Linked DNA regions of Drosophila melanogaster. The protein of the gene in region 1 interacts with the protein of each later gene in a pairwise test. Each region holds a gene or a part of one and is shown on either strand. Other genes may lie near its edges. The genes, in order: CG31142, CG13175 and CG31493.

What was found.
Region 2: the proteins of CG31142 (region 1) and CG13175 interact in a two-hybrid assay, tested with the Drosophila melanogaster proteins (one large-scale study listed by BioGRID).
Region 3: the proteins of CG31142 (region 1) and CG31493 interact in a two-hybrid assay, tested with the Drosophila melanogaster proteins (one large-scale study listed by BioGRID).

The regions. Positions count from the first base shown.
Region 1 is NT_033777.3:23,923,206-23,933,173, reverse strand, and holds CG31142 (uncharacterized protein), read right to left. Parts: upstream 3,932-9,968; 5' UTR 3,852-3,931; coding exon 3,762-3,851; intron 3,660-3,761; coding exon 3,282-3,659; 3' UTR 3,229-3,281; downstream 1-3,228. Other genes in the region: RpS19b (ribosomal protein S19b), read left to right, coding at 1-84, 155-316; CG13599 (uncharacterized protein), read right to left, coding at 513-1,118, 1,180-1,461; Rpt2 (regulatory particle triple-A ATPase 2), read left to right, coding at 1,848-1,850, 1,912-3,228; CG43999 (uncharacterized protein), read left to right, coding at 4,196-4,337, 4,395-4,563, 4,621-4,810; CG43998 (uncharacterized protein), read left to right, coding at 4,868-5,178, 5,240-5,390; CG13601 (uncharacterized protein), read left to right, coding at 5,606-5,747, 5,803-5,971, 6,030-6,172, 6,232-6,545; Ndc1 (nuclear division cycle 1), read right to left, coding at 6,834-8,172, 8,233-8,630; CG31141 (uncharacterized protein), read right to left, coding at 8,976-9,521, 9,581-9,796.
Region 2 is NT_033778.4:12,180,940-12,191,261, forward strand, and holds CG13175 (uncharacterized protein), read left to right. Parts: upstream 1-1,699; 5' UTR 1,700-1,856; coding exon 1,857-2,282; 3' UTR 2,283-2,294; coding exon of another isoform or gene 2,295-2,638; intron 2,639-2,699; coding exon of another isoform or gene 2,700-2,891; intron 2,892-2,904; exon of another isoform or gene 2,905-2,983; coding exon of another isoform or gene 2,984-3,250; exon of another isoform or gene 3,251-3,371; intron 3,372-3,453; coding exon of another isoform or gene 3,454-4,368; 3' UTR 4,369-4,567; downstream 4,568-10,322. Other genes in the region: wash (washout), read left to right, coding at 1-1,261; small ribonucleoprotein particle protein SmF, read right to left, coding at 2,984-3,250; Cyp6g1 (cytochrome P450 6g1), read left to right, coding at 5,499-5,963, 6,029-6,829, 6,890-7,198; Cyp6g2 (cytochrome P450 6g2), read right to left, coding at 7,813-8,100, 8,152-9,423; Cyp6t3 (cytochrome P450 6t3), read left to right, coding at 9,748-10,322.
Region 3 is NT_033777.3:7,127,659-7,137,533, forward strand, and holds CG31493 (uncharacterized protein), read left to right. Parts: upstream 1-3,901; 5' UTR 3,902-4,016; coding exon 4,017-4,097; intron 4,098-4,167; coding exon 4,168-4,350; intron 4,351-4,397; coding exon of another isoform or gene 4,398-4,411; coding exon 4,412-4,888; 3' UTR 4,889-5,037; downstream 5,038-9,875. Other genes in the region: CG10068 (uncharacterized protein), read right to left, coding at 1-164; CG31248 (uncharacterized protein), read left to right, coding at 1,862-1,904, 1,967-2,019, 2,516-2,704, 2,759-3,229; Fer1 (48 related 1), read left to right, coding at 9,508-9,698, 9,748-9,875.

The DNA.
Region 1 (9,968 bases):
TTCACCAAGGTCTATAGCGGGCGCAAGCGCAACGGTGTTCGTCCGTCCAAGCACTGTCGCTCATCGGATGGCTGTATTCGCAAGGTGAGTGGGAAATGGTTGTACTTTAAGGTTATATTTAATATTACTTAGCATGTATCTAACACATGAGCAGGCTCTTCAAGCCTTGGAAGCTGCTAACATGGTGGAGAGGCACCCGGATGGTGGTCGTAAGCTGACTCCGCAAGGACAACGTAACTTGGATCGCATAGCCAACAAGATTGTGGCCAAGCAGCGAGAGCGCAGTGCACCAGTTTCCATGATTATCACTACCTAAGATGATAATACCAATACCACGATGGATCATCTTTGAGTGCCTTGGGTTTTCAAAACATTCTCAATAAATCGAAACCAAAAATAAAATTAAACAATTATATACATAATAAAATAACTTAATACTTGAAATATAAACGATTCGAAACTTTATTTTTGACACAAACACGCCGAATAGCAAGAATCCAAGTTATAAAATGTTAGCTAGACCACAAATCTCCCGATTTTTGGTTGCCAGGAGCTCTGAAACCGCGAACTATGACCTCGGCCTGCCACCAACCGCTGGTTTCATTTGCTGCTTTCAAAACGTCATGCTCTTCGTTGGTCTGGCTAACGTCTTCCCCAGATTTATCCAGATTCCGCACGCCAAGATCGTGGTAAATATCCATCTCCTTGCAGCAGCGTAATTCATTCGGTGTGTTTTCACTGCAATGCAGTAGATGCAGGTGTATGTTCTTGCAGCTGCGCGGAAGTTGGCTTAATATATGCTTTGGGATTAGATTAAAGGAGTCACAATGGGATCCTTGGGGTCGATCGGAGTCTGTAAGGAGCTCCATTTCTAGAAACACGTTGGTGACTTTTAGTTCGGTGGAGAATAGCCTGTACAGCTCCTCGCAGGTGAGCAGGCGGAGCAGCGCCTGGTTGATGCGACCTTCGGGCAGAGCATGGTGCTCGCAATAGTGATCTCTGGATATGGAATCATGTGGTATGTGCAGAGTATAGGCCTCCGAGGGCATGAACATATTGTTGCCAAAAAGAAATCGCAGGCTCTTCACTTCAGAGCTCCTGAAGGCTTGTCGGATGATCTGTAGGAGAGAACTGGCAAGTAAAGACCAAAAGAAGTCCTGGATGTAAGGGGAACCTCACCTCTCTCATGTCACTAATAGATTCCTTGGTGGCCTTTGCCTTAGAGCGCTGCTGGTTGCGTTGGTAATGAGCAAAGGACTCCTGATCCTTGGATTCTCCCGATTCATCAGCATCTGACCATTTATCCACATAATATTTGTATGTTTTGTACACGAAGGGGATTTGCCGGCGTTGATAGAGCAAGAAGTCCAGGATGCCATTCACGAACTCCGCTGTTGTCCCACTGGTCAGAACCTCAATGTTATCCAGTTTAAGATCAACATTCTTGACATTTTGATCCATTAAAAGGTCGCAATATAACAAATTTAAACAAATGCTCTTTTCGCACTAATTGCAAACGTTGCCAGACTGAAACATTCAGTTTGTTTACAGTAATCGATAAGTATATAAAACAGTGACTTTTAAAATTTGCTTTTTTCAAGTCTTGAATTCATTTATATTTTGGTTGTTAATCATTACTATTGTTTTAATCCGATTGCTTAAGCATTTCTTGCCTATTTTAATTTTCACGTTTTTTTAAAATATTTGTTCACCCTTAGAGTTGCCAGACCTTCATGTTTCCATAGTACGGCAACACAGCTAACGCGAATGACTAGTAATTTTGTTGCCGACAATAAAGAGTAAAAAGTTCATCAAACGTTCGGCAAAGCAGCAAGCACCAAGACAAAATGGTAAAATAGCACCTTCAGAACACCCTGAACTCATTTACGATCGGGAACAATACATTTGCAGGGACAAAACCAATCGGCTCAAGGGGGAGCTGGCGAAAAGAAAGATGACAAGGATAAAAAGAAGAAGTACGAGCCTCCAATCCCAACGCGCGTTGGCAAGAAGAAGAGGCGCGCAAAGGGTCCAGATGCGGCCATGAAGCTGCCCCAGGTCACGCCCCACACCCGCTGCCGCCTTAAGCTGCTCAAGCTGGAGCGCATCAAGGATTACCTGATGATGGAGGACGAGTTCATCCGCAACCAGGAGCGCCTGAAGCCCCAGGACGAGAAGAACGAGGAGGAGCGCTCTAAGGTTGACGATCTGCGCGGCACCCCCATGTCCGTGGGCAACCTGGAGGAGATCATCGACGACAACCACGCCATCGTGTCCACATCGGTGGGCTCCGAGCACTATGTTAGCATCCTGTCCTTCGTGGACAAGGATCAGCTGGAACCAGGCTGCTCCGTGCTGCTCAACCACAAAGTACACGCTGTAGTCGGAGTTCTCAGCGACGACACCGATCCAATGGTCACGGTGATGAAACTGGAAAAGGCTCCGCAAGAGACTTACGCAGATATCGGTGGCTTAGACACTCAGATCCAGGAGATCAAGGAGTCTGTTGAGCTGCCACTGACCCATCCCGAGTACTACGAGGAAATGGGAATCAAGCCACCCAAGGGCGTCATCCTATATGGGCCTCCTGGTACGGGCAAGACCCTGCTAGCCAAGGCAGTGGCCAACCAGACCTCGGCCACTTTCCTGCGCGTTGTAGGCTCAGAGCTGATCCAGAAGTACCTGGGCGACGGACCCAAGCTAGTTCGTGAGCTCTTCCGTGTGGCTGAGGAGCACGCTCCATCCATTGTGTTCATCGACGAAATCGATGCAGTGGGCACAAAGCGCTACGATTCAAATTCTGGTGGCGAGCGGGAGATTCAGCGTACTATGTTGGAGTTACTGAATCAGTTGGATGGTTTCGATTCGCGCGGCGATGTCAAGGTGATCATGGCCACCAATCGTATCGAGACCCTTGACCCGGCGCTCATTCGACCCGGTCGTATTGACCGCAAGATCGAGTTCCCGCTGCCCGATGAGAAGACCAAGCGCCGCATCTTTACCATCCACACATCTCGCATGACGCTGGCCGAGGACGTGAACCTTAGCGAACTGATCATGGCAAAGGACGATCTATCCGGCGCCGACATCAAGGCCATCTGTACAGAGGCTGGCTTGATGGCGCTGCGGGAACGCCGCATGAAGGTGACCAACGAGGACTTCAAGAAGTCAAAGGAGAGCGTCTTGTACCGGAAGAAGGAGGGCACGCCCGAGGGTCTTTATTTATAAGTCGCGCGAAGATATACTTTCAAGTTAATTTTGATAATTCCCAAACACATGCATTAAACCACATTAACACTAGAATCGCTCCCCGATGTGAATAAATTCGTAGTTGCCGGGAGTTGCTGTGCCAGTTTTCCTAGGAGGTCGTCCACGTAGGTCTTTTGTTTTTCGGATATAACGTTGAGTGGAGCGCCTTGATGCTCCAAATATGTGAAGTGTGCTTTATTTGTTGCATCTGCCAGTTGGAGTTTTTGATAAGCTTCTCGTTCTGCATTCCATTCGGAGCTTTCAGCTCCCGCCGCATTGCTTATGGTTTCATAGAAGGCACTCAGTTTGGCCAGTTCGAATCCAGTTTTAAAGCCATTCTCAAAGCCTTCATCGAAGCTCTCTTGGAAGACCTTTTCCCTGCCATCGGCAACGCCATCTGCATAGCTTATCTTGATAGGGAAAGGGTATTTAGAAGTCGTGTTTACTCGGCAATGTAAAGCCAGCTGATTTCATCATGAAAGCTGGCCACGCCAAATTCATTTTAAACTTACCTTTGCCACCTTTTCCTGCACACGATGATAATTAGTCGAGCTGATCTCTTTAAACTCAGTTTCATCATCAGAATCCCCAAGTGCCGACATTATTTTTTAGGAAGAATATTAAAGCATGCAGAGGTAAAGATTTAATAACAAACAAAACCAGCGTTTTAGTAACAGGTGTGACCGGGTTTTATATGCCAAATATTACCGATTCATAAACTAAACTGTCTAAACATCTTTCAAGAATCTGTTAGTTATTAAATAAGAACAAGAAGTTTAAAAAGAGTACATGTTTTAAATTGCTGGGTTTGGATATCCACAGACTTAAAGTTATTGCGACTCAGAAATTGAGTTTAGAAATAATTTGAAAAACTGATTATATGAAATTTGAAAATTTTCGGTTGTAGGGCACTTAGGGAATTCTGTCGAAACTTAGAAATTGCACAATGGTTGTGGGCGTCTTTCCACTGGCGAAACTAGCTTTACTTGCCATTAAGCACATTAGCAAGCCCATTGGCAATCTGATCAAGCAAACGGCCAAAAAGAATAAGTCATTCAAAACCCTGGTTGTTGCTCCTCCGGCGAGATGTGAGTACAATCCGTGGAATGCCCACCAGTTATCATCATAACCAGTATAATGTTCAGTATACCACGTAATTGATGTGCGCTCCAAGATGTGGATGCTGGGACTTGGACAACCTCGTCTAATTCCGCCCCTCACTGACGCGATGACTATCCAAATGGGCGGTGATATCCTGGGCGAAATGGTCATCTTCATTATTGGCGCCACGCTGATTGTAGGCGAGTTCAAAAGGTATGCAAGCCTCGATTATCTTGAAGAAATCTTGGCTTATTTCAAATATGCTTTTAGGCAAGCCAAGAATGACAGGTTGAAGCACGAAAAACACAAGATGCATCGGGAGAAGCTGGAGGAAAGAATTGGTAACCTCACCAACAAGGTCGCCCGCCAGACCAAGGAAATCAATCAGCTGAGGAGCAAGCTGGGAAGTAGGGAAACCTATACGGCATATTGCAATACAGGGGATTTGGAATGTAACTGAATTGGCCTGGAAATCTCAGTCGCCAGTATATTCGTGCTAAATTTTATGTAACGCACAATGGTGATTGGTAGTTTTCCAGTTGGAAAAATTTTCATTCATGGCGTGAAACGGATTAGCAAGCCATTCGGAGACCTTCTGATTTGGATGGGCAAGCATCATCCCTTTATACGGCGCTACATCATCATTCCGCCTGCCCAGCTCTACAACACCTTTGAGGTCCGTTCCAAGCTTCGTATGCTTCGATTAAAGCAGCCCAGGCGGATTCCACCCCTCTCCACTCCGGTCGCCACCAGATTGGGCGCTGATATGCTGAGTGAGGCTTTTGTGTTTGGCATCGGCGCGGGTCTCATATACTATGAGCTTTCAAAGTGTGAACTATTACAAATGTCTTAATAATTTGTATTCCTATACAATTATTTGTTTTTATAGAACATATACAAAAACCAAAAAACAGAACCAGGAAATTGAGGATCAAAAAAGAGTTCTAGATGAGTGCGTGGACTGTATCAGTGCAGATGTGGAACGGAACCAAAGGGAAATCAACTGGATTAAGGCAGCTCTAAAAAACGTTGAAAAATAAGGATTTATTTTTGTATAATTTTATTATGTAATAAATAAATGAGTAATTTTCAAGTTCGTCCTATCGAAAGTTGCCTATTATTTACGGTTATATTTCCAGTTTCAAATTGTCATCACTATCGTGCATCCCTGCGCACACCGCTACCTAAAACACATCTCTAATTTTGCATGAATATTTTGTAATAGTTATTAGTAAAAAATTAGTAAAGTAAAACAATGGTTATTGGCGTCTTCCCGGCGGCCAAGCTCGGCATTTTGGCCATCAAGCAGGTCAGCAAGCCGATAGCCAACGTGATTAAGTCCAATGCCAAATCGAGCCCCTTCTTCAGGAAGTACATATGCATGCCGCCCGCACAGTGTAAGTGGTGCGATGTGATTAGATGAGATTACGGGCTCTAATCCCACATTTTCAGTCTACAACTGGGTAGAGGTGAAGACCAAGATGTGGGCCCTGAACATGGGTGGTCGCGTTAATGTTCCACCGCTGAACGAGGCGATGGCCATTGAGCTGGGAGCCAATCTGCTTGGCGAGTTCATCATCTTCTCGATCGGAGCCGGTCTTTTGATTTTCGAGTACTCACGGTTGGTAAACAGAGATCCAAAGCCATTCCAGAGCTATATTGATCCAACCACTTTCCAGTCAAACCATCAAGGAGAACAAGAAAAACGAGTTGGCGCAATCGGAGAAGATGGAACTAACCAATATGCTGACGGAGATGAACTTTCGGCTGGAGCGACAGGATGCCCAGATACGAGAAATGACGCGAGTGCTGGCTGATCTAGGTTCCATTTCCTTTCAACCGAAATCAAGTATCACGTAATCATATACCAACTCCTTACAGATTCGCGAAACATTTTCCGGTGGCACAAGGAGCCGATTCAGGAATACGTGCCCTTCGATCCCGACACGCCGGACCAGAGTGCCAGCGCCAGGAATCCGAAAAAGTTCGACAGCTTATATGACCCGCAAGGCGGTATGGCCTTCCGCGCCCTGCACTTCCTGGACACGCAGATCTTCGTGGACGGACGCAACCGCAAGGCCAAGGAGGCTCTCCAGCACCTGGATGAGGTGGCCGTGCAGCTGGAGCAGTCTCTGGGAGAGGCAGCCACCGTTGCCGTTGCCAGCTCACTGCCTACAAAAGCAGCCGACCTTTGACCAAAGCGGCAGCTAGAGCAGGATCTGGCCCTGCTCATGATGGCAGTGGCGATGGAGGAACAGTAAGGCCGCCCGCTTGTACACATTCAACCTGCAGACCATTTCATCAGTGCTAGTTATGATCAAATCGCGTGTTACCATTTCGTACTTTAAGTATAAAAGTCAATAGTATTCTATAACTATTGGACGTTTGTAGTTATATTTATTAATTTTTATTGTTACCGCAGACAAACAACTAAAGAGATGCAAAACAGTGTACAAGATGAGTGTATAAAGTGATGGATGGGTTTACTCCTGGCAGACGAGGTCCTGCAGCTGGCGCAGTTCCTCTCCAGGGGGTAGCAGATCGTCCAGATAGTCGCAAAACGACAAACAGATGGCGTACAGACTGCGTCGCACTGCGCATCGAAGCACGTTAAAGCTAGAGCTGGATATCCTTATGTTGCCTATCACGCTACTTAGCTTATCTAGCTCATTTCGCAGCTTGTTGATCGCCTTGATGATAGCAGGCAAATCGTTCTGCACTACTCCATATGGATCCTCTTTGAGCGAGGCTGCGCACACCTGAGCCAGAGCCTGAGTCATATACACTACGGGCAGGGAGTTGGCCAGCAGAAACGTCGTCTTGGCACCTTCGGGTTCGTTGAATAAGTACACAATGCCGGGAACGCGCTGTAGCAACCGTTGTAGGGACTGCTCCAACTGCGTGGATACACGCTCACACCAGTTGGGAAAATGACGGATGCCATCCGCTGGACTTTCAACAGCAACCTCGCGACTGGGCGATACAATGGGTCGAATGCCGTGTTTCTGGTTGTATTGCCGCAGCAACACCTTCTCGGCCATCAAGCTAGTTGTAAGCGATTCGGTTATCTTCGGCATCGGCAGACTCTGGGCGCACTTGAGTATACTTATCTTCTGCATCGACTCGGTTAGTTCTTCGGTAAAGCTGCCGAGAATGCTCAAGCATTGGTCGCAGAGGGAGCGCCAACTTGCTGGCCGGTTACCCGGCTCAGTCAGCTGGAATATCTCTGCCCGTTGTGGCGAGTTCTTTCGCAACGCCAGCTTGTAGAAATGATGAGCAGCAAGGCACTGCACTACATACACATTGAAAACTCCGAGACCCGCTACCAAGGTTATATCCTGTTCATGGGCAAAAGCAGCTCGCGGTTTAGTCACCACCAGTGGCAAATCCTCCGAGAGCAGAATGCCGTAAAAGCAACGCATTAGGTGCATGTTGCTCAAAATCTGTGCGGTCAGCAAATAGCCGTAAAAAAGCAGGCGCACATTGGTAACAACTCCGAAGAATCCATCCAGTCGCTCGTCCATGTCCACAGAGAGAATGTGACTAAGTCTGTGGCATACCATGGGTCCGAAAAGACAAAATACGGCGGTGTAACTGATCGTAGGCAGCAGCGAACTTAATAGAGATTTGGCCAAACTGGCGTAGAGCAGCTCTCGCATCTTCTCCGCCCGCGATTGCTCCACAATGGGAAATTCAATGGAGATCTCCTTGCGCATGTGAACGGAGACAAAGTAGTAGCAGCCGGCGGTCATACCGATGCCTAATAGATAGACATTGTAAGCACTAATGCAATCCTGGCCATAGCACTTATATTTCAGGTGTCTGGAAATAAAAGGAATCATAGGTATTGACCGAATTCAAACCAACTGTAGGTATACTTACTGATAGTCTGTGTGCAGATAGCCCGTGTAGAGCCAGGCGGTCAGCAGACCGACCAGAAGGTGGGCGAACAGAAAGAGCACCTTGCGTGGACCGTAGTGCAGGAGCCACCGGTAGCGGGTTGGGCAGTAGCGTCGCTCCGACAAGTGCTGCTGGCAAAGAATCACACCGTAGAGCACGACGGAGGCCACCAGAGGGATGCTGGCAAACCAGGTGTACCAACTGGCTACCAGACGCAGTGTTCCCGTCACCCAGGCGAGCGGATGCAACAGTTGGAAGTTCACAAACAGCAGGAACACTGTGAGCAGCAGGAATTGGATGGCCACGCTGAGGAGCACGGCGCGCAGGCAGCGGCCGAGCAGCAAGAGCTTGCAAGCGTTGCTGGAGGAGCTAGCAGACATGTTTGCGCTCCGAACTGCTAGACCATCGAGGTATCACCAATAATTTGATTTAATTCTATAGTTTTCTAATTGATTTCGCGACTAATTGCAAATATTCGACGGTTGCCGACAACGCGCGCGTTGTTGCACTTTTAAGTGTGACCGCATGCGGAAAGTGGAGCTGCCCGTAATCGATAACTCATTTGATGTTCGTAGTGAGAAACCCTAATGGAAAACGGTTTTTTGAAATTTATCTTTTTAATTACAAAGCACAATTTTGTAAATCTAGAAAGTTCACCATTAAAATGGCTCATAAAAACGTATGACTAAATTAGTATATCTTCAATTTTCGACCTAATTTAAGTTTTAGTTCTCCTTATGCTTCGGTCTCAGGTAGCACTGGAAATAAAAGTTGGCGAACATGATAAACATGATGGTCGCGGAGCAGCTGACCAGAAAGAGGGTTCCCTGCGATGCAGTGCACTGCCGCTGCATGGCGGTTAAGGCGCAATGGCCAAACATGAGGAGGAACTGCAGCATTTGCATGAGGGTCAAGTACCGCTTCCAACGCACCGTATTGCCCTTGATGGCCGAATAGTAATAGGCATACATGAAGATATGAACGAATACATTGAAGGAGCACAGGAAGAAGAGTTGACCTCCGTAGCCATAGAATCGTATTATCAAGTATCCGGCGGATGGCATCAGGACGTGGTGGAAAACGTGCAAAAACGTTATTTGCGAGTACTTCTTGCGCAGCACGCAGAACACGGTGTCAAGCAGGTCAACGATCTTGTTTATGTAGTAAGCATAGCTGATGCAGCGCTCCCAGTTCTTCAGCGGATGATCCTGCTGCAGGACAGTCATGCAGCGAAAGTTGTACGGTTGGAATACCAACATGAAGTAGTATCCCTACGGAAGAAGCTTTTATCAATTGAAGAAAAGAATGTAGGCTCAAAATTTCAACTCACGGGCAGGAGCATCATTATATTGTAGAATATCTGGAACATGTTATAGTACTTAAGCACTTTTCGCAGATTATAAGGTTCTCGATGCTCCATGAACTTCCTGCCGGCCTTAAAAACTACCAGAAGGTATCCAATGAGGATAATTATGATGGGACCGGGTCCAGTTGCCAACGGCAGCTGTTTGGAGTCCGCATAGGGCGTCCTAAATATTTCCAACATTTCTGTTACCTAATTATTGTGTACTTTTCAATTTGACAAATAAAACAACTGATGAACCGCCTTGCTGTCACGTGTTTTCTAATGAAAGCCTAAAAATATTGTATGCTTACTTCTTAATTGAGTAATTTCCCTAGGCAAGTTAGATTGATTTGTGTGCAATACCAAATTAAAT
Region 2 (10,322 bases), on another chromosome or scaffold:
GGCCATCCAGATCTTTGCACCCGCCCGCTTTCCGGCCAGCGACGTCCTGGCACCGCTGCCAGCCACCTTTCCACAGGTGGCAGCCAATCCCCTAATGGAGCAGCAAGTGGACCAGCTCCCGCAAGGGACGTACAGCAGTCACAGTGCCGCGGACCAGAAGCCGGATGATGCGGACATCTTTTTCCATGTACGTGGCGATCGGGAGCAGGAATCGCCACTGGTCGCCGAACGGAAGATAACCAATCGGACCGCTGGCCTGGGCATCCTGCCTGCGGGTGGAGTGCGCTCCGTACCCTCGCTCATGCGATTCAATACCAATGAGTTCGCCTACGGCGAGGATCTGAATGCCTGGAAGCGATCCCTACCGCCGCAAAATGCTCGACGCGTTGCCAGTCAGTCCACTCAACTCACGGGAGAAAAGCAGCTCGCTCCGGCACCTCATTCGCTGGCCCACGGCACCACCAAACTGGCCACTCCAGCTGGGGACCTGCGCTACAATCCTGCTGCTTTGGCTGCACCCGCCATTGATGTTCCGCTGGACCTGCCCGACCTACCGGGCATAGCGAATGATCTGCAATATGAGCCAGTGGAGGAGCAAACACCAATAGCGCCTTCCCAGCAGTTCGGTGATTTACCAGAGCTGCCGGATTTGGGCCTCGAGGAGCAGGATATAATAGTGCAAGCCATCGCGGCACAGACGCACATTCCGGGACCGGTGCGTAGGAAGAGTGTGGGACAATGTCCTTCGCCAGTTACGGCGGCACCACCGCCTCCTCCTCCGCCACCACCGCCGCCTCCACCTCCTCCACCAGCGCAGACGAGCGCAATTCCATCACCGCCACCCTTTCCCACCAAAGGAGCTGTGAAACCGCTCTCCCCGTCGTTAGCAACACCTCTTAACATGCCGCAGCCGCCTCCAGCTACTGAAGATCCGCGATCTGAGCTTATGGCCGCCATAAGAAACGCCGGTGGAGTGCATGGCGGTCGTCTGCGGTCGCCTGCGGCTGCGCCGCTCGACGTGGTGGACAACAGTCGCTCCAAGGCGGGAGGCGCTGTCACGGGGGATTTGATGGCAGACCTGCATAACAAGCTAATGCTGCGACGCAAGGGAATTTCTGGGAGCCAGAATCCCGTGGAGGCCACTGCTGGCAATCCCCTGATGCAGCAGCTCTCCCGCGTCATACCGCCGCCGGTGCAGCCCCGCAAGGGATCTAAGTCGAGTGACGAACACTCCGAGGACGACGAGGATGGGTGGAACTAGTGAATATTTAGCTTTAGTACCGGTTTAAGTGCCTTGGCTGGCTTAAAGCACTAGCAACCTAGGTTCTCTAGCTTAAAGCATACAAATTTCTAAAACGAATTCCAAATTCTGTGCCCAAGCGAGCATGCCAAATTAGGTCAAAGTCAACCAGTTGAATAAAACTACATATTAGCAGAAATGTGTGTAATTTCTTATTGAGAACATTGGCTAACTTTAATTGATAAAATTACAGGACAATGAAACATTTTGTGATGCTAAATGAAATAAAACAATTCTTTATACTGACTAAAATAAACTCGATATTAAATTATAATAAAACACTAAATTCTAGTTTTAGATAACAGCTATTTTCCTATTTGAAATAAACGAATTTCCCTGTTAAATCCTTAACAGCGCTGTTGTGTTGCTCTCTGCCAGTGCTGTAAAATGCCGCAGTGGAATCACATTTCGGGTAAAAACAAATTGAAATATCCACCGAATTTAAATATTAAAGTTAGAGAAGCTGCCAAATATCTGGAGTTACAATCAGGGACAAGGACAAGGACTACTACACTAGAGGAGAGCTTTTACAAGCAATCCGGTGAAACCACATATAATGACAAGTCCGTCGCGGGATATAAACGATCTTTTTGACGATATTGTCCTGACCGAGGAGAAGGAGGCACGTTTGGGCTACGAGGAGGGACTGAAGGACGGCCAGGAGCAGGGCAACGAAGAGGGCTATAAATTGGGCTACGCCCAGGGAGTATCCCTAGGCGAGGAGCTCGGCAAGATTCTGGGCCAGGTGGTGGCCCAGCAGCAGCTGAAACACACGGACAAGGTGCGTCGCAGCTTGGAACAGTTGCGTTCGCTCATCGAGGAGTTTCCCCGCACCAACGATCCGCAGGCGGACATAGTGGGTGCTGTGCAGGACATTCGCTCCTCCCATCGTCGCCTTCGCGCCCAGCTGGGATCCAAAAAAACGCCTGGTGCAGCGCCTGCAGAGACCAATTCTGTCGAGCACAAGGACTACAGCTTCTAGCCTTATAGCACCATGTCCAAGGTGGGAGTTGTGCAGTTGCAGAGGCGTCTGGATGGCTTACTGGCCTTCCTCAATCCGCACTGGGATTTTGTCAATTGCCACATGGTGAACTACTTGACGGACCAGCACTGGGACGGCTTTTTATCCGAAACGCTGAAAAGTGAGATCGCCGGCAAGGAAGATGTGGCTCTGGCCATAGAAGACCTATTTTGGAAAACTGATGAATCAGAAAGGTTTCCGGCATGGCGAGAATTCCTAGGCAAGAGCAAACAAGAACGCCTGTCGCTTCAGAGGGTCAGGGGAACTCCACGCAGCTAAGCATTCGGGAGTTTATGAGCGCCAAAAAGTGCCATGAGGTAAGTAAACCAACCATTTTAAATGAGAGTATTTTAGGAATTGATTAATCTCTCCGATTAGGTGGATCTAACAGCCGTTCTCGTGGACCAGCTTGTGAAGAACTCCGGTCAAGATTGCTTCATTGTAGACGCGGGCGATGGCAAAGGGTATTTATCCTCGCGCTTGGCGCTCCAGTATGGTCACCGCGTGCTCGGCATCGATGCGAACGCGGCAAACACCGAGAACGCATTGAATAGGAATCGCAAATTGCAGGTAGGCCGGGCTTACAAAATAAAGTTAGCTTTATTTCATTACGTTTGTAGACTTAGAAGTAAGGTGTGGGTGTATGTAGGTGAATCCATTGGCTAGTCGCGCATTTCGCCCTCCTCGTCGTCGTCCTCCATGCCCTTGATATACAGCACGTTGTTGCAGCGGATGAGCACCTCGCCAAGATTACCAGTCACGGAGCCCTCGATCACTTCCTCCGTGTTCGCCAGCTGCATGTTCATGTAGCCGTCGACGGAGACCAGGAAGCCCTTGTACTCCTGGCCCCACTTCAGCTTCACCAGCACCGGTTTTCCCGTCAGGCCGTTCAGGAAGGGCTTGGGGTTAATGGGCATACCAGCCGACATTCTGTTTATTTGATTTTTCCTGCCTTTTTTATAAAATATTACAACAAGCGTGCCGAAAATCGCCGGCTTTTCGCGTTTTTTTTGTGTAGTGTGACCACAGCTGCGCTGTGTAAACATACCAGAACAAGAAGAAGAATAGCATAGAAGAAGAGTATTGAAAAACCATTCAAAAGCGCCAAAATTAAAATTTTATTTAATTTCAGCGCGCTTGGAATGGCCTTACGGAACGAGCGGAGCTGCAAGTCCAGGGAATCACGCCCAAGAGACGTGGTAAAAAGTCGCCAGCCAGGGAGAGCACCAAGAGTGCGCCTGCCTTGGAAAACTACAAGACAACGGCAAAGTTTATAACCACCGAACTTAACTTTGGTGCCCTGCTGGCGGAGAATTTCACTCAGTTTAGACCGGAAGACAGTCCAAACATTTGCCTTACTGGATTGCATACCTGTGGCAACCTGGCCGCCACCTGTCTTCAGGTTTTCCACGCCCAAACGGACTGCCGGTTGCTTTGTAATGTTGGCTGCTGCTATCATTTGCTGCGGGAGCGCTATTCGCAGCAGGAGTTCTTTGGCAATAAGTCCCTGATGGAGCTGCAAACAGACTATGGATTCCCATTGAGTCAGTACCTGCGGGAGCGACAAGTGCGAATGGGTCGCAATGCGCGGATGCTGGCGGCCCAGTCAATTGAACGCACCTTGGACACCAAGGAGCTGCCTAATGTAACGCTCTACTATCGAGCTCTCTTGGAGATTCTGGTTTGCCGCCATGCGCCGGAGCTGAAAAACGAACTGCAGGTGGGCAAGGTACGGAAATTCGAGAGTTTCGAGGAGTACATTCAAAAGTGTGCCACCAAATTGGATGCTCCCTGGTTGGCAGCTGTTGAGAAAGAAGAACTTCAATCCCTGCTCCAGGAATATGCCGTGCATAAATACTTCTTGGATCTGTTCTATCTGCTGCGCATGTCCTTTGCTCCGGTGCTGGAGAGTCTAATTCTCCTGGATCGCCTGCTCTACCTCAAGGAACTTGGCTATGAACGCAGCTATCTGATAGATTTATTTGATCCCGTCATTTCGCCCAGGCATTTTGCAATTGTTTCTATAAAGCAGCAAACGCAACAATAATGAAATTCACAAATGCATCAAAAGCTTGACGAGAAAGCCGGTTGTGTTTAATTATTTATAGATTATAGCGTGCAATACTTTTCATATCGTATATGTATTGCGTTAACGCTTTTAAAAATCTAACTAAACCATAGCACACAAAAAGTAAATAAGGTTGTTAAAACTAAGAATCATTATAATAAATGTAATCATGACTTGTAATTATCTTAGAGTCCCTCTGGATTTGCTGTGGTTTGTTTGTCGTATTTTAAAGCTTTTTCCACCACACAGGTGAATTTATAAGTATGCACTTGAAATTGCTATCTCAGAACTTTTGAGACTTTCGAGTATAAAAACGCAAACAACATTTCAAATCGCCCCAAGTGCGGTGCGTAGAGCTTTAATTGTCGGTTGTGTACGCGGGTGCTCAGAATTTATAGATCCAATAAAAGTTTCCTTGAAATTGCTGGACAAACTTGTTGCGAATTAGGCCAGTTGCAAATAAATTGTGTGACTAAAAAAACCTGTATATTTTCAAAGTAAGTTATGAAATTCGGTATACAAAATTGTATATTTTAATTTGAAAAAGTGTGATATCCTTGAAAAAACCACACTTAATATGGAATTGAGGGCAACTGTGAAAATTAAGATTACTTGGTTACTGTTACTGTTACTAAAATAAATAGAGAACTGGTTTCTAAGAAATATATTTTGGACATTTGCTCTATAGAAATAGTAGTCTCATGTATAATTAATAAAGCTTAGGACGAAATCCTTGCTGGCAAATTTTTAGTGTCATATTTGCTGCCCGAAAAGATTTTCTATTTAGCTTTACAAGCAGCTTAATTGGGTGTAGATATGGCGGGAATTACTATAAGCGTATCATAAACACTCATTGTAATGCTCCCTATCATAACTAATTGTAATTCGCGTTGGAATGGAAAAGATAATGCCAGCTAAAAATAATTAAGACGGCTGATTTAATAAAATCTAGGTAAACATGGGTAGCAAAACACTCTAGATTGCATTTGAAACCATCGACCGTTTCAAATGCGATCGAGATAAGATAATGCTGAGGGCACTGGCATTTGATTAATTGTTTTAGCGATTAATTTCAGAGTGGCGATACCCATTACATCGACATCCCCAAAATGGTGTTGACCGAGGTCCTCTTTGTGGTGGTCGCCGCACTGGTGGCGCTCTACACTTGGTTCCAGCGCAACCATAGCTACTGGCAACGCAAGGGCATACCCTATATTCCGCCCACGCCGATCATTGGCAACACCAAGGTGGTCTTCAAGATGGAGAACTCCTTTGGGATGCACCTATCGGAGATATACAATGATCCGCGGCTGAAGGACGAGGCTGTGGTGGGCATCTACTCCATGAACAAGCCCGGCTTGATAATACGCGACATAGAGCTGATCAAATCCATTCTGATCAAGGACTTCAATCGGTTCCACAACCGATACGCCCGCTGCGATCCCCATGGCGATCCATTGGGCTATAATAACCTGTTCTTCGTCAGGGATGCCCATTGGAAGGGAATTCGCACCAAGCTGACTCCCGTTTTCACCAGCGGCAAGGTCAAGCAGATGTACACCCTTATGCAGGAGGTAAGGATTTGTGTTGAAACTTATTTATCCTTATGAGGGATTTAACATACATATATGCTGTGCAGATTGGAAAGGATCTGGAGCTGGCACTGCAGAGGCGTGGAGAGAAGAACTCTGGGAGTTTCATTACGGAGATTAAGGAGATCTGCGCTCAGTTCTCCACGGACAGCATAGCCACGATTGCATTTGGCATTCGTGCTAACAGCCTAGAGAATCCCAACGCAGAGTTCCGTAACTATGGACGCAAGATGTTCACCTTCACCGTAGCGCGTGCCAAGGACTTCTTTGTGGCCTTCTTCCTGCCCAAGCTGGTGTCGCTGATGCGCATCCAGTTCTTCACGGCGGACTTTTCCCACTTTATGCGCAGCACCATTGGTCACGTTATGGAGGAGCGAGAGCGATCGGGCCTGCTCCGCAATGATCTCATAGATGTCTTGGTGAGTCTGCGCAAAGAGGCGGCTGCCGAGCCTTCGAAGCCTCACTATGCCAAGAACCAGGACTTCCTGGTGGCTCAGGCGGGCGTGTTTTTTACGGCGGGTTTCGAGACCTCCTCCTCGACCATGTCTTTTGCCCTGTACGAGATGGCCAAGCATCCAGAGATGCAGAAACGCCTGCGCGACGAGATCAACGAAGCTTTGGTGGAGGGCGGTGGGTCATTGAGCTACGAGAAAATCCAGTCCCTGGAGTATCTGGCCATGGTGGTGGACGAGGTGCTGCGCATGTATCCGGTGCTGCCGTTCCTGGACCGCGAGTACGAGAGCGTGGAGGGACAGCCAGACTTGAGCCTGAAGCCGTTCTACGACTACACTCTCGAGAACGGAACCCCTGTGTTCATACCCATCTATGCACTGCATCATGATCCAAAGGTATTCCATCACATTGAGAAGTTCATAAGCCCCCTCCTCTAACTATCTGGTTATTCCTAGTACTGGACCAATCCCAGCCAATTCGATCCGGAGCGTTTCTCACCCGCGAACCGCAAGAACATAGTGGCCATGGCATATCAACCCTTCGGATCTGGGCCGCACAACTGCATTGGCAGCCGGATTGGCCTGCTACAGAGCAAACTGGGACTGGTCAGCCTGCTGAAGAATCACTCAGTGCGCAACTGCGAGGCCACCATGAAGGACATGAAATTCGATCCCAAGGGTTTCGTGCTCCAGGCAGATGGTGGCATACATTTGGAGATAGTCAACGATCGCCTCTACGATCAGAGCGCTCCATCGCTCCAATGAATTTGAATCGCATGAACTGTGTGATCTGTATGGATACACATATGGATACATATATGTACATATATGGAATAAGTGATTAGTTGATGGGGCAATCGCCTTCTGACAGCTGGCATTTGCCTGACTTATGATGCAGATTATATAATGATAATCCGTGTGTTAGAAGCGGCGCCTAGAGTCTACTAAATAAAAACAAAATCATTATCAAATTACATTTAATCTGCGTGCTGAGCAGCTAGCAGCTACTCAATTGCGCCACCAATAAATAAATGCAATAAATGCTATCTTTACGATTATAAATCCAGTTCAAAGGCATCTCCCAAATGTAACAAATAACCCAATAGCTCTCATCTGTGGAATAAGTAGAGTCTATACAGATACGCTTGGATCTTGGAGATGTATTATATATGTATGGATAGTATTGCATTCACTATTCACCGGCGATGGAACACGCAATTTGCCAATCAAATTGCCTTTAAGATGCGACACCAGCTCAATTTTAAATCCCCAAACACGCGACTCCGCTGCTTAGTTTCCATTCAGTTGTTGTAGGCTCCATAGTCTCACCACCCAGGAAAGAAGTATCCAGATTATCCCATATCCCATATTCAGGTGAGTTAGACGCCCAAAGCATCGCGAACCAGCCGTAGGTGGATGCCGCCCTTGGCTTGGGTTATGATGGCCTTGGGATCCAGCTGCATGCGATGGGGTGTGCGCTCCGAGGTGGTTATCATGTGGTTGCGCAGCAGGTTAACCAGACCCACCTTCGCCTGGAGATATCCAAAACGTTCTCCGATGCAGCCATGCGGACCCAGGCCGAAGGGCATGTAGGTGTAGGGCGTGTGGAGCTTGCGATTCTCGGGCGAGAATCTTTCAGGCAGAAATTTTCGCGGTTGAGGAAAGTACTGGAAAAGGGTAGTCGTTGGGTAATGTATGCAAAATGTATCTCAACCCACCTGGGGATCCATGTGCAGGGCATAGCAGGGTATATAAACGGGCATGCCCTTGGGCACCACGAACTTTTTGTGGAACGGAGCCAGCGAGTAATCCCTCCCAGAAGTGCACTCGCGATCCAAAAACGGCAGTGGCGGATACATGCGCAGCACCTCCAGCAGAATCATTTGCATGAACTCCAGTGACTCGATCATCTTCAGCGTCACCTGACCTCCACTTTCGACCAGTGCATCCTTGATCTCCTCCCGCAGGCGCTGCTGTACGTCCGTATCCTTGGCCAACTCGTACATCGCGAACGCCATGGTCGAGGAGGAGGACTCAAAGCCGGCGGTGAAGAAGAGTACCGCCTGGGCGACCAGGATGTCGCCCTCGAACACAAATTGATCCTTGATACCCGATGCCTTCGCCAGCTGCGTGCTCCTACGGAACTCAATGAGAATGTCGATGAGATCGTTGCGCTTCTGTCCGGATTTTTCCCGCTCCGACATCACATAGTTGATGGTCTTGCGCAGAAAACGAGTGGCCTCCGCCGGCACCACCTTGAATCTAACGAACGGGACCAGGTGGGGCAGGAAAAACACTAGAGTGAACTCCGCGGCACGCAGCAGGTTGAACTCGAACACAGAACGTCCATGGCGGCGGAACTCGCACTTCGGATCCGTGAAACTGTTGGCACTCACTCCGTACGCTACCGTGGCTATCACATCCGTGGTGTAGAGAGCACACAGCTCCTTGGCCTCCAAGTCGAAGCAGCGCATCCGCTCGTTGTGCAGCGGCTGCTGGCGGAGATGGGCATCCAAGCTGGCGCCCACCTCCTCGATCAGGGGAAACATCTGCTTCAGTCGATTGCCGGTGAAGAAGGGCGATAGCTTCAAACGTACCTCCTTCCAGGCGGGATTCTTCAGGAAGAATATGTTCTGGGATCCCAAAGGGTCGCCCTTGGGGTCGGAGCTCGAGTACCGGTTGGAGAAGCCAGCGAAGTCCTTGACCAGGATATTTCTCACCATTTCGGGGTCTCTCAAAAGCAGCGCCGGCTTGTGGAACACATGGATGCCCACGAAGGGTTCGTTCTCCGCATCGGGATGGTTATACAATTGCGATATGAACTCCGCGGGACTCATTCGCATGTTGAGCAGTCCCATCAGGTTGCCCACTATCCATTTGGGCCTGATTTCGCGTACTCCCATTCGCCGCCAATAGGAGTAATGCTGCTGCAGCGCCAGAAAGGCAATCCCTATTAGGGATGCCACGAGGATCAGCAGTACCAGTTCCATGCTAACGCCACCAAACCCAATGTCCAACTGGCTGAAATATTGCCAGCACCATAGAGTTAAAGCTTTGGGTAAGCGGAAACTCTACTATGAGATCATCAAGATGATCCTGAGTGCAATGAATGAATCTATTTGTGAATGGAAGTGCTTGTCGAGATGTTAAGTGGGTCAGGTTCAACTTATGCATATGGAAATGCATTTCTTGACGGTCGTGAACAAGGTCTCCTCCTCATTCAAAAGAACGACTTTTTGGATCTTAGCTATCTTTACCTAATGCTGGTATATATTTCATAGTTATAATATTCTATCTTATATCTTATAGACACCATGCTGCTCATCTGGCTGCTGTTGCTCACCATTGTGACTCTGAATTTTTGGTTAAGGCACAAGTACGATTACTTCAGGAGCCGTGGGATTCCGCACCTGCCACCCTCCTCTTGGTCACCAATGGGCAATTTGGGACAACTTCTATTTCTGCGCATTTCTTTTGGCGATCTCTTTCGGCAGCTCTACGCAGATCCACGAAATGGTCAGGCGAAGATCGTTGGCTTCTTCATATTCCAAACGCCGGCGCTTATGGTTCGGGATCCGGAGCTAATCCGCCAGGTGTTGATTAAGAATTTCAACAACTTTCTCAACCGGTTCGAATCGGCGGACGCCGGAGATCCCATGGGTGCACTGACGCTACCGCTGGCTAAGTACCATCACTGGAAGGAGAGTCGGCAATGCATGTCCCAGCTCTTCACCAGCGGCCGTATGCGGGATGTCATGTACAGCCAAATGTTGGATGTGGCCAGCGACTTGGAGCAGTACCTCAACAGGAAGCTGGGGGATCGGCTGGAGCGCGTTCTCCCGTTGGGAAGAATGTGCCAGTTGTACACCACCGACGTGACGGGGAATCT
Region 3 (9,875 bases), about 17 Mb from region 1:
AATGTGAGGGACCTTTCCACCTGGCTGGTTCGGCTGGCTCCGGCCTTCGCTCCATAGCAAATCCTCTGGAGCTCCGAGAGCCTGGTGAAGGCGTGCAGGAACCACTTTATAAAGGGCCTTATATAGCTAAAAATAAAAGGCAGTATTCGGTCGAGAATAAACATTTTACTAAGGCGGCGAAGAGAACTAATTAGATTTCCCGATTTCGTTTGTTTGCGCCCGGTTGCCAGGGCAACACATCAGGATTGGCTTTTGATCACAGCCTTATGTTTCTATCTACTATATTGCACTTTTGAGAGTTGTCTTTAGAAAGCTTTTATGATTGACTCGCAACAATAACAAATCCAATGTATTATTAAAAAAAACCAAACAGCTGATCAGGCAGTGTTGTAAATAGCGGAAATATGGACGGCATTTGAGGTATTCTTGATAACATTCTGAAGTTTTCTTTACTTTAAAGAGGCACTTTAATTATGCCTTAATTCTAATCGTTTTACATATAGTTCTATAATTGAAAATAGATTTTCGAAAAGGATGGAGTCCCCCTCACATGCTTCTGCAACTATTTACTTAACATTCTGCTCAACAAACGGTCACACTGCTGTTATAATCCTAATTGCTTACTAAGAACTTAATAGTGTAAGCAAACTCTGTTTGTTCGTATTTATATTCATAAATTTGACAGAATTGGACGGATTGATTGAAACTCCAATTACGTTCTTCGCCCCGATATTGATTTTGATATATTTGATATATTGAGTTTTCTGAACTTTTCTGGTATTGTTAAAATTTTTCCTGTTTCCAGCCAACTGACGGCTCAACCAACTGATTCTCCAGGACCTCAAATACTTTCCATCAGTAGCATGCGACACATGATGAGTCCTGCTGAACCGGGAGGCTGGTCACCTCAACTATTTCGACTAAAGAACTTGGAACAAATAGAGAAGATGGAAGAGGAAATGAATGATCCCATCAAATCATTGATTTAAGTAAATTTAAACATTCAGTTTGAGCATTCTTTATAAAGTGTTTTCTATTACCTAGATTCAAACCATGCGAAACATTTTGAAACCCGGTGGTTCGGTGGGTCACCCCGACCTGGAGGTTTCAAAAAACAATTTCATCTTATACTCGCCCTAGACTTTTTGGTTGATTTCAATTTTGACGGCATCCACAATAAAATACATCTCAAGGAGTTTGGAAATTTCAACAACGCTTTGTTTATAGCACATACATATACATATATGACTTCTTTTTTAAATTAAAATTCATTAAATTTCAGAAGCTCAAAAGCAGGTAGAATATTTTAGAGATGACTACGTCGCTGAAATCAGACTGGCGTTCCGAGTTTACAAAAATCTCAGGCATAAAAGTGCATCAGATACTCGGAAAAAAATTAAAGAAGCCACAGTCCTCATGGAGCCCGAGGTAAAATTGGAAAAGGCTTTGTATACAGAATGATATAAGAGTACCGATAACTTTTTATTTATACAAGCGAATTTATAGTTAAAAGAGTTGTGGGTAAATAAACAAATTTGTAAATAAGGTCTTTTATTTGTTTATCAAGCTTAAAGCGTGCAATTGCAATGTTACGATTGTACAACTAAGACTAAATGCGCGTTGCATATCTCTGATTATTTTAAAGTGCTCTATTAAGTTCGCTTCGTTGACGGTATCATCTAAAAACTCGCGTGCCCATGCGATTAGATTAGATGGCGTCTATGTGCTAGGTTTTTAAAGCTTCCATTTAAAAATATATGTTGCCTAGTCGTAAACCTGTATCGCTCAGTTAGTGACCACCACTGGACGCGGTTGCTTCTATACTTTGCTAGCTAGCTGGCTGACCGATAAGGCATTGAGAATGCGGATGGAAAACGGAAGACTCTGGGGAACGTTGCACGACGGTGAGTGTCTTGCATACAAATAAATATCCACCACTTAAGTTTTTGTATATCTTTATTTGCAGGCAAATTTGAGGTGCGCAGTGTCACTCACTCCGACCTGGAAGAGGCGCTAGATGTGAGTATGATTCCGAGGGACTCCCATAATCATGCCTATCAGCCATAAAAAAGTTATTTCTGGGATAAAGACGATCAAGAACTAAGCTTAAAGTTCAAACAATTTATATTGCTTGTGTAGTGCAAATTTGATCATCGTTAATTCATCAGAAGCACAAAACTAATTTTGTGCGTCAAACTCGACGTGGCGTCGGTGGTGTAATGGTTAGCATAGTTGCCTTCCAAGCAGTTGACCCGGGTTCGATTCCCGGCCGACGCAGTTCACTTTTTGTATTTTTTTCAATTCTTTACGGCATATTAATTTTTTATTTTGTGAAATGAGAAAGTAACTTAAGATTTAAGGAGGGCTAAGAAATCGAACATTATATATATGTATTCACAGATATATATTAGTAAAACCAACATAAAAAGCATGTTGTTTATATATTGAAATCTAGTTCCGCAGCTCTTCAAGAAATGATTTGTTTAGAACTTTTTTATAATTGTGCATTTTACAGGTTCTTGACGGCTCATTCTTTCTCAACGAATCTGTGTGTGTTGCCTGTGAAATTAATTTGCCGGAAAATCGGCAAGCTCGTTTGGACTTGCGAGAGTTGTGCAGAAAAACCGCTCTGGATGGTGTCTCATTGTTGGTTAAAGAGGCGGATACGGGTCGCGTAGTGTCCGTGTCGTTTAATAAAATTCAGGTAAGATTCGATTTTTATTTAAACAATATTAATCCTAATGTGTCGAAAACACAGTATGCACCACCACCTGGCGAGGATCACTTCTTTTTAAAATTCCGGAACGAGGAAGTTAAAAGTCCTCAGGCAAGGCGTCTAATGGACTTTATGATCGAAGTGGATGGAAGAATTGATGTGTGTGCCATGTTCAACATGGTGTGCTTCTGTGAACTGATGTTTCTGGCCACTTTACCGAGCCACGAGCGATTGGGATTGGGTCGATCGTTGTCCCAGTTCACAATTGAACTGACCAAGGAGCTGGCCGAAGGAAAGGGCCTGGAGGATATCGATGATAAACTAAGATCAAAACGCCCAGCTGCCGTCACCGCACTCTGGACCTCTAGATTCTCTCAAAAGGTTGGAAAAGCAACAGACTTTAAAGTGATCAACACCGTTTCTTATTCGGAATTTGAGTACAAAGGGAAGAGATTTGACGAGCGAATTAACCTTATTCACAAGTTTTGCGAACATGTCATCTATAAATTTTAAAATACAAAAGTAAATGTTTGTAAAAAATTTATTTGTAAATTTTTGTAAAAATTCGGCTGTGCGTCGGCCGGGAATCGAACCCGGGTCAACTGCTTGGAAGGCAACTATGCTAACCATTACACCACCGACGCCATGCGAAGCTAATGTGATGTTTTCTTTCTTGTCTGGTGCACATCCCATACGTAATTTCTCGTTTGATTTGATATGTCTCGTATCGATAGTAGTTACTATCGGTATGCGGTCACACTCAAAATTTCAGTTAAATTTGAATTGCTGAGAGGGAAACCAAGTAAAGATAGTTATTAATAAACTTTCTTTTGAAATGCTTTGTATCGTTATGCTCCGATTCTCTCTTAAAGCTTAAGCGTAAAATGTTGTTCTTTATGTAGCAGAAAGTTTTGTAAAAAGGTTTTTATCTTAATTCGCTATTTGCCAAGTCTTGCAAAATTTTAAATTATTTTTAAATGAATGTTGTTTGTTTCGGCAGTTGAAATTGGTAATCAATGCTATTCTTCAACTGCTACAAATAGTAGCTTTTTGATACGTTGTATCTACTAAAACTTCGTTACGAATATATTTGACGCTAAGGAAATTGCAATTTTCCACATTAATAGGGGGATTTATATTGTATATGGTATTTAGATATACGTTTATTAAACAGCAAGCTGTACGTTGTACTAGATTATATTAGCAGTCCGAATAAATTAAACTTTAATCGGGCTAAAAAATTAAGCGAATACGATTATAGAAATTAATCGTCATTCTTCGTTCGTTTGGAATTCGGGCGATGAAGGACTGCGTCGAAATTTTCGAAGGGGAGTTTGAGGTCCTTCGTGTAACTCCACCGCTTTATGATGAAGTTGAAGAGGTATGCATCTGTTCAGGGTTAAATCTTTACGCTTAATAATAATACGCTTATAATATTGTACTGATCGCAGCTGCTTGTGAACATTTCGATCAATTATGAGTTCGGATGTGTGATCGCTAAACTTAAAGACTCTCCGTTGGCCATTGCCGAGCTAGGTAAACTAATAAGGCACATCATATCCCGAGGAATATCATTCGCTATACGACACGTGGAAAGTGGCAGAATTGTGGCTGCAATCGCTAATATAATATTTGTAGGTACCAATTGTATATTTGGCTTTAATCGTTTATATTTTTTTAGTGCACCCAAACCAGAATACAAAGAGGAAAACCTCATACTACGACATTTGCGCCCAGATCAAGAGTCCAAACATGATAAAGTACATGGAACTTTGGGATGCTGTCGATGCGAGCTTTAATGTCAACGAGCACTGCCAGGTGGACAGCACGGGAGATGTGGAATACATGGCCACTTTGCCGGAGTTCAGACGACGTGGCCTGGGCCACATCTTATGCCAGCAGTCCATCCAGTTCGCAAGTCTCTTGGCCCAGCGGAAGCTTCCTCTTGAGATACTCAACCAGCTGCCTGAGGAGATGCGGATTGAAAGACCGCAGGCCATTGTCGCAATAACTACATCCCAATCCTCGCAAATAATGGGCAGACAATTGGGAATGAAAACTATGCATAAGTGGCATTTTTCCGAGCTGAGGTCCTTGTGCGGAGCGATGGCGGAGTCCAATGGCGCAGCCCAGGCCTTTGAATATGCAGAACTGCAAGTAGTAAAGTTTTGATGGAAACCTAACGCGCATTCTGACTAGATTCATAGATTAGTTAGTAAAAGAAGATAGTAACGCAAAAGTTCTTAAAAAACGGCATTTAATTTTTATAATTACGAAAAAGCTCATTCTTATATTATTGGAAATAAAACTAAAATCCAACGAAAGAAACACCTTTTAACAGTATAATTTAATTTGTTATGCTTAATTAAGTATGTTGCTATCATCTTAGGTACATTTAACACTGTATCAGCATTTTGGATGACGAGTTATACCATCTACGGGTAACACCAGTTTATAGGATGAATTTTTAAATTACCTGTAAATCAGGTACTGACTCTATTATCAAGCAGTGCGGAATTCCTATGCTTTATTGTCAATCTGAAGGATTCGCCAGAAACGATCAAATTACTCCGGACTTTAATAAGGCATACAGCTGCCCTGGCCATCATTATAATTACTCGGTTATAACAGCAGATTCCCTTTACTTCAGTATTATGTCCCAATTCAAAAGTCTAAAAATGGTTAGAATTTAGAGATGAAGTAAGTCCTTTTTGGTACTTTGACCATGTTTATATCGGAAGCCTAAACGGTTAATTTTATCCTGAGATGTTCGCCCAACTGCCCAATAAGCTTGTAGATCTGGTACCATATATACGATGCTCACATCCTTATTACATGTAAGATATGATAGGTCTTCAAGTGGCTCATCGGTGGATAAAGTTCGAGTTGACACACTGAGTAGGTATTAAATTAATTTAAATTCATCTCCATTTTCTAAAAAAAAAAACAAGTATTACCTAACGAATAGGTAATTTTAGACAAAATCTAGTCTTGGTAAATATGTATGTGTTAGCAGTTATCTGTTTAACAATCATCGTGCGAAAATGTTCACGTGCGCATACAAAATACATAGAAGAAATATATAAACATTTTCATAATTATCAAACATGCTTCCAATCAATGAATATAAGCAAGTTTTCTTTGGAATCCCTTATAACATTTACATTTTTTCAAGGGAATAAGTGGACGGATTAAAAATGCACTTGTTCCATTGAAGATTTAGGAAAATTCAGGCCACACAAGAACGTTGTTTGAGCTGTCAGTGAATCCAAAATGGTCTCAGCCCATATGGGTCGTTAAAAATAAAATTGAATAACTTTTCAGGACGTTTGAAAAGTTTTAATCCTTGCAAAATCCACTCAGTGCTCAACGCACCCCTTTTTAAATGTCTGTCCTCAGTGCTGATGTCAATTTTTGCACTTTCGAACGAACTTCTCAAATGAGATTAAAATTTACACAATTCAGGACTCGGCGAGGCGTGCACTCGAAGGGATTTCCCTGAGTTTCCCTAATGCCCGGTGTCAATACAGCGAATGGACTTGGATGGACTGCAGGCCAGATTTGCTGGGTGAGCAGTGTGATAAGCATTTCGATCCTACTTTGGCTTCACCTCAACAATGCACTGGGGTTTTTAATTAGAATTCGAATAACAAAAAATGGAAAGTACCTAGCCAACAGAGGAGGGGAGAGGCCAAGGGCAAATACCCTTGCGGCAGGGCAATTGCGTGTAATGATATCGCAGATCGCACAGGATATACAGGATATGCGTATATAGGGTTGTCTGCCAAAGAGGCGGTTACGCTTGATTGTGCTATATGACGTGTGCATAATTCGCCGAGTGCCGACCAGTTCGGCTAATTTCAGTTTGGTTTTTAAATTACAGACAGTATGTTTAATAATAATATAGAACCTGCTATAGCGGCCAAGAGTGTGAGAATTGAAATAACGAATTCTGAAAACGATACAACGTTGTTATTTCAAAACTGGTACATTTTCATTATAAGAGCCGTATTAACTAAAAATAAATAATAATGATTAACAATTTTTTTTTAATTATTGTTCTTTTTATATATTCTATAAGTTTTCTTTACCATGCTGTGTGACTTAATGCGTTTATTATATAGTGAGGTATTTGTATTTGTATGTGGGAATAATGGAAAACATTGTTGCAGCGAAGGACATGAAAAATCGAAACTTTAATTGTTGCCAATTTGTAAAATAATGTGGTGTTTAACGAATGGAAAACCGATAATAATTCAACTATCGCGGCCTGTGATCTGCTGTAAAAACCTAAAAGCTTTCATCCCACAAATCGACCCAGCGAAACAACTTGATAAAATTGAAAACTAATTTGTTTATACAGCTGCACAAAACGAGCAGCGCCGGCAACGATAACAACGCTGAAACAAAGGCGAAGGATTGGGGGTAGGCGGCAGGCTCCTGGCGAAGGCAAAACAATTTGTTTATCATGGTAGCCTTAGTGAGGTTGTCTGATGATGAGGCAACAACACATAGGACAGGCGCAGGAAAAAGGACAACAAACAAACAGAGTTTCAGGACGAGGAGAAGCAGGACGAGGATGAGCACGGCAACGCATCAGGGGATGGCAGCGTACTCGGGAATACACAGAAAAAATAAATTCAATGGTTTAGTGAGCCGGTACCCTACAATTTTAAGAAAACAATGTTTGTTAAAACTAATTGCGTTTAAAAGGCAAATGCGTCTTAGTATCAAAGACTGTTCAAAGCAAACGAAGAACGCAACGGTTGATTCCATCGACTATCAGATACCCGTTAATTACCACGAGATCGCAACTTTCATACGGAGGGACCGATATACGGACAGACAGACAGGCATAGCGTGACCAACTCGTTTAAGGATCCTAATTAAGATTACTAGATGAAGACTCCAAATAATTAAAAAAAAATTTTTTAAAGCCACAAAATATTATAAAACCTTTAAAATATATCAACAGGAAAACATATAAAATTTAAAAAACATTTTTGTATCCATTGACGTACATTTTCTTCGTCGAGTGTATAATATTTTGACACCCTTGTCTCTGGTGAGCCCCGAAAAATATGCAGTACATAGTGCAATCGGCTTTTAATGGAGTTGTTTCAAAAAAAAAAAAAAGGCAATGAGGAAATCCTAGACAGTGCAAATATTTGAATTTGGGCTCTGCTAATGCTTAAAAATTATGCTGGTTGACAAATTCCGCCGGCAGTTCCTTATGGGGCAAACTATTCAGTGTACTTTTTACCATGTATGCTGAGCTCCTCTTGGTTGAAACAAATCATTAATTAGACTTAGGAGTGGTACCAAGTAATCCAAGCCATGGGAACAGCGCACAAGCGTGATCATTATTCCCGCACATCACTGCGGAACTTGTGCAGCTGCCAGCCCAACCCCTTTTAGTGCACCTCCGCCTCCCGGGGAAACACTTGTCTACTACATCAAACATCAACACCTTCCATTGTCAAGCACTTGGGCAATAATTCCGCTTAAACAGATAAACGAGCGCTCGAATCAAAAAACAATTGAATGCGCTCACAATGTGAATGTGGTATAGAGCACGGCCTGAAAATCAAAGTCTCCACCTCACCCCAGCCTGTGGACAAACTTAATAAGCTTATCACACCCCGAAATGCAACCCTGCGCGGCAAAAACTTTCACCTCGCCGAGCTCTGTGATTGGTGGAAGCTTGGAAACTTCGGCGCCGCCCCTTTGGCTGTATCTTTTGATGTGGCACCGCCATTGCAGGATAGCACACTTCCACCCCTCGGCGCACCATTCTTATCAGACAGGTCCTGTGGAAGTTCCAGGCTCAGGCATTCGCTTCCCGGCAGTCAGAGAGTTCGCAACACGGCGCGTTTCGATGTTAGAGTGCGCGGCATCGTTGCATCTATAAGGATTACTGGGGTGTTGGCCACTGGGAAATAACTATATTATAATTGGTTCGCGAGTGCGGAGTGTTTACTGCTTAGGTGATGTGCAATTCGAAAGGTTACTGTGGTGAACCATTTCGTAGAGGTTGAGAAAGCATCGGAATTATTTTGAACCAAGTCTAGTCAGAGGATTATAGCAAACTCCTAGGTAAGTTAAAACAATTAAGAAGGGCTTAAAAAAAAAGTTAGAATTATAACAAATTTCAATAGAAATTTATCGTTGGCGTGGTAATAAATTAGTAAATATATAAACGCATATACAATAAAACACGAAATCAAAGAGTAATCAGTTTTCAATTTATATCATTACGCTATTGAACAAAACTTGAGCTATTAATCCGTTTAATGATTTTAAGCCTTATATAAGAAGTGCAGCTTTATTTAAATATATTTATTGAATCTTATTTTATAGGATTTCGGTAATCTGATATTGTAACACATCATTTATATCTTATCTTCGTTTATTCTGTTTACCAACTCGATAGTAAATTACATTCATATCCATGTAAATGATACATTTTATATCTATTAGCCACAAAATCCTATCTTATCTAATCAAAGGTGTGTTGAACATGTTTATTACCGATATATCGGCAACTGAATAAGTTCATGCAGAGGAAGTAACACCCCGGAATATTAAAAATACTCTTTCGCAGAAAGGCAAAAGTCAAGGACGAAGAACACACGTTTCACTTGTTCAGCCTGCTACACCCCCTCCAGAATCTCAAACCTTGTGACACGTGCTGGTCACGCGTCGCCAATCAGCGGATCGGAAGTGTTAGCTTTACCGTTATGCACTTAACTGGCAATTAGGCACACAAACAGAAGCGCAACAGATTTACCATGTTTTCCATGGACAATTTCGACTTGGAGGCCACGATGGCGCGCCACTTCTTCGAGGGATCGCAGGCCACCAACGCCTCCACCTCCAGCTCCGACTATTTTTTTGGGGACGAGCACAGCTCGGAGAGCGATGACGAGGACGATGCCTATAGCAGTGGCTTCAACAGCGACCAGGAGAACACCGAGAAGACGTAAGTATGGCGTTGATTTGCGTCCTCGAGCCTCACTAATCCACTTCAGCTTCTGCCCATTCAGCCGGCGGAGCCACAAGCCCCGGCGCTTGAAGTGCGCCTCCCAAATGGCCCAGCAGCGGCAGGCGGCCAATCTCCGCGAGCGCCGCCGGATGCAGAGCATCAACGAGGCGTTCG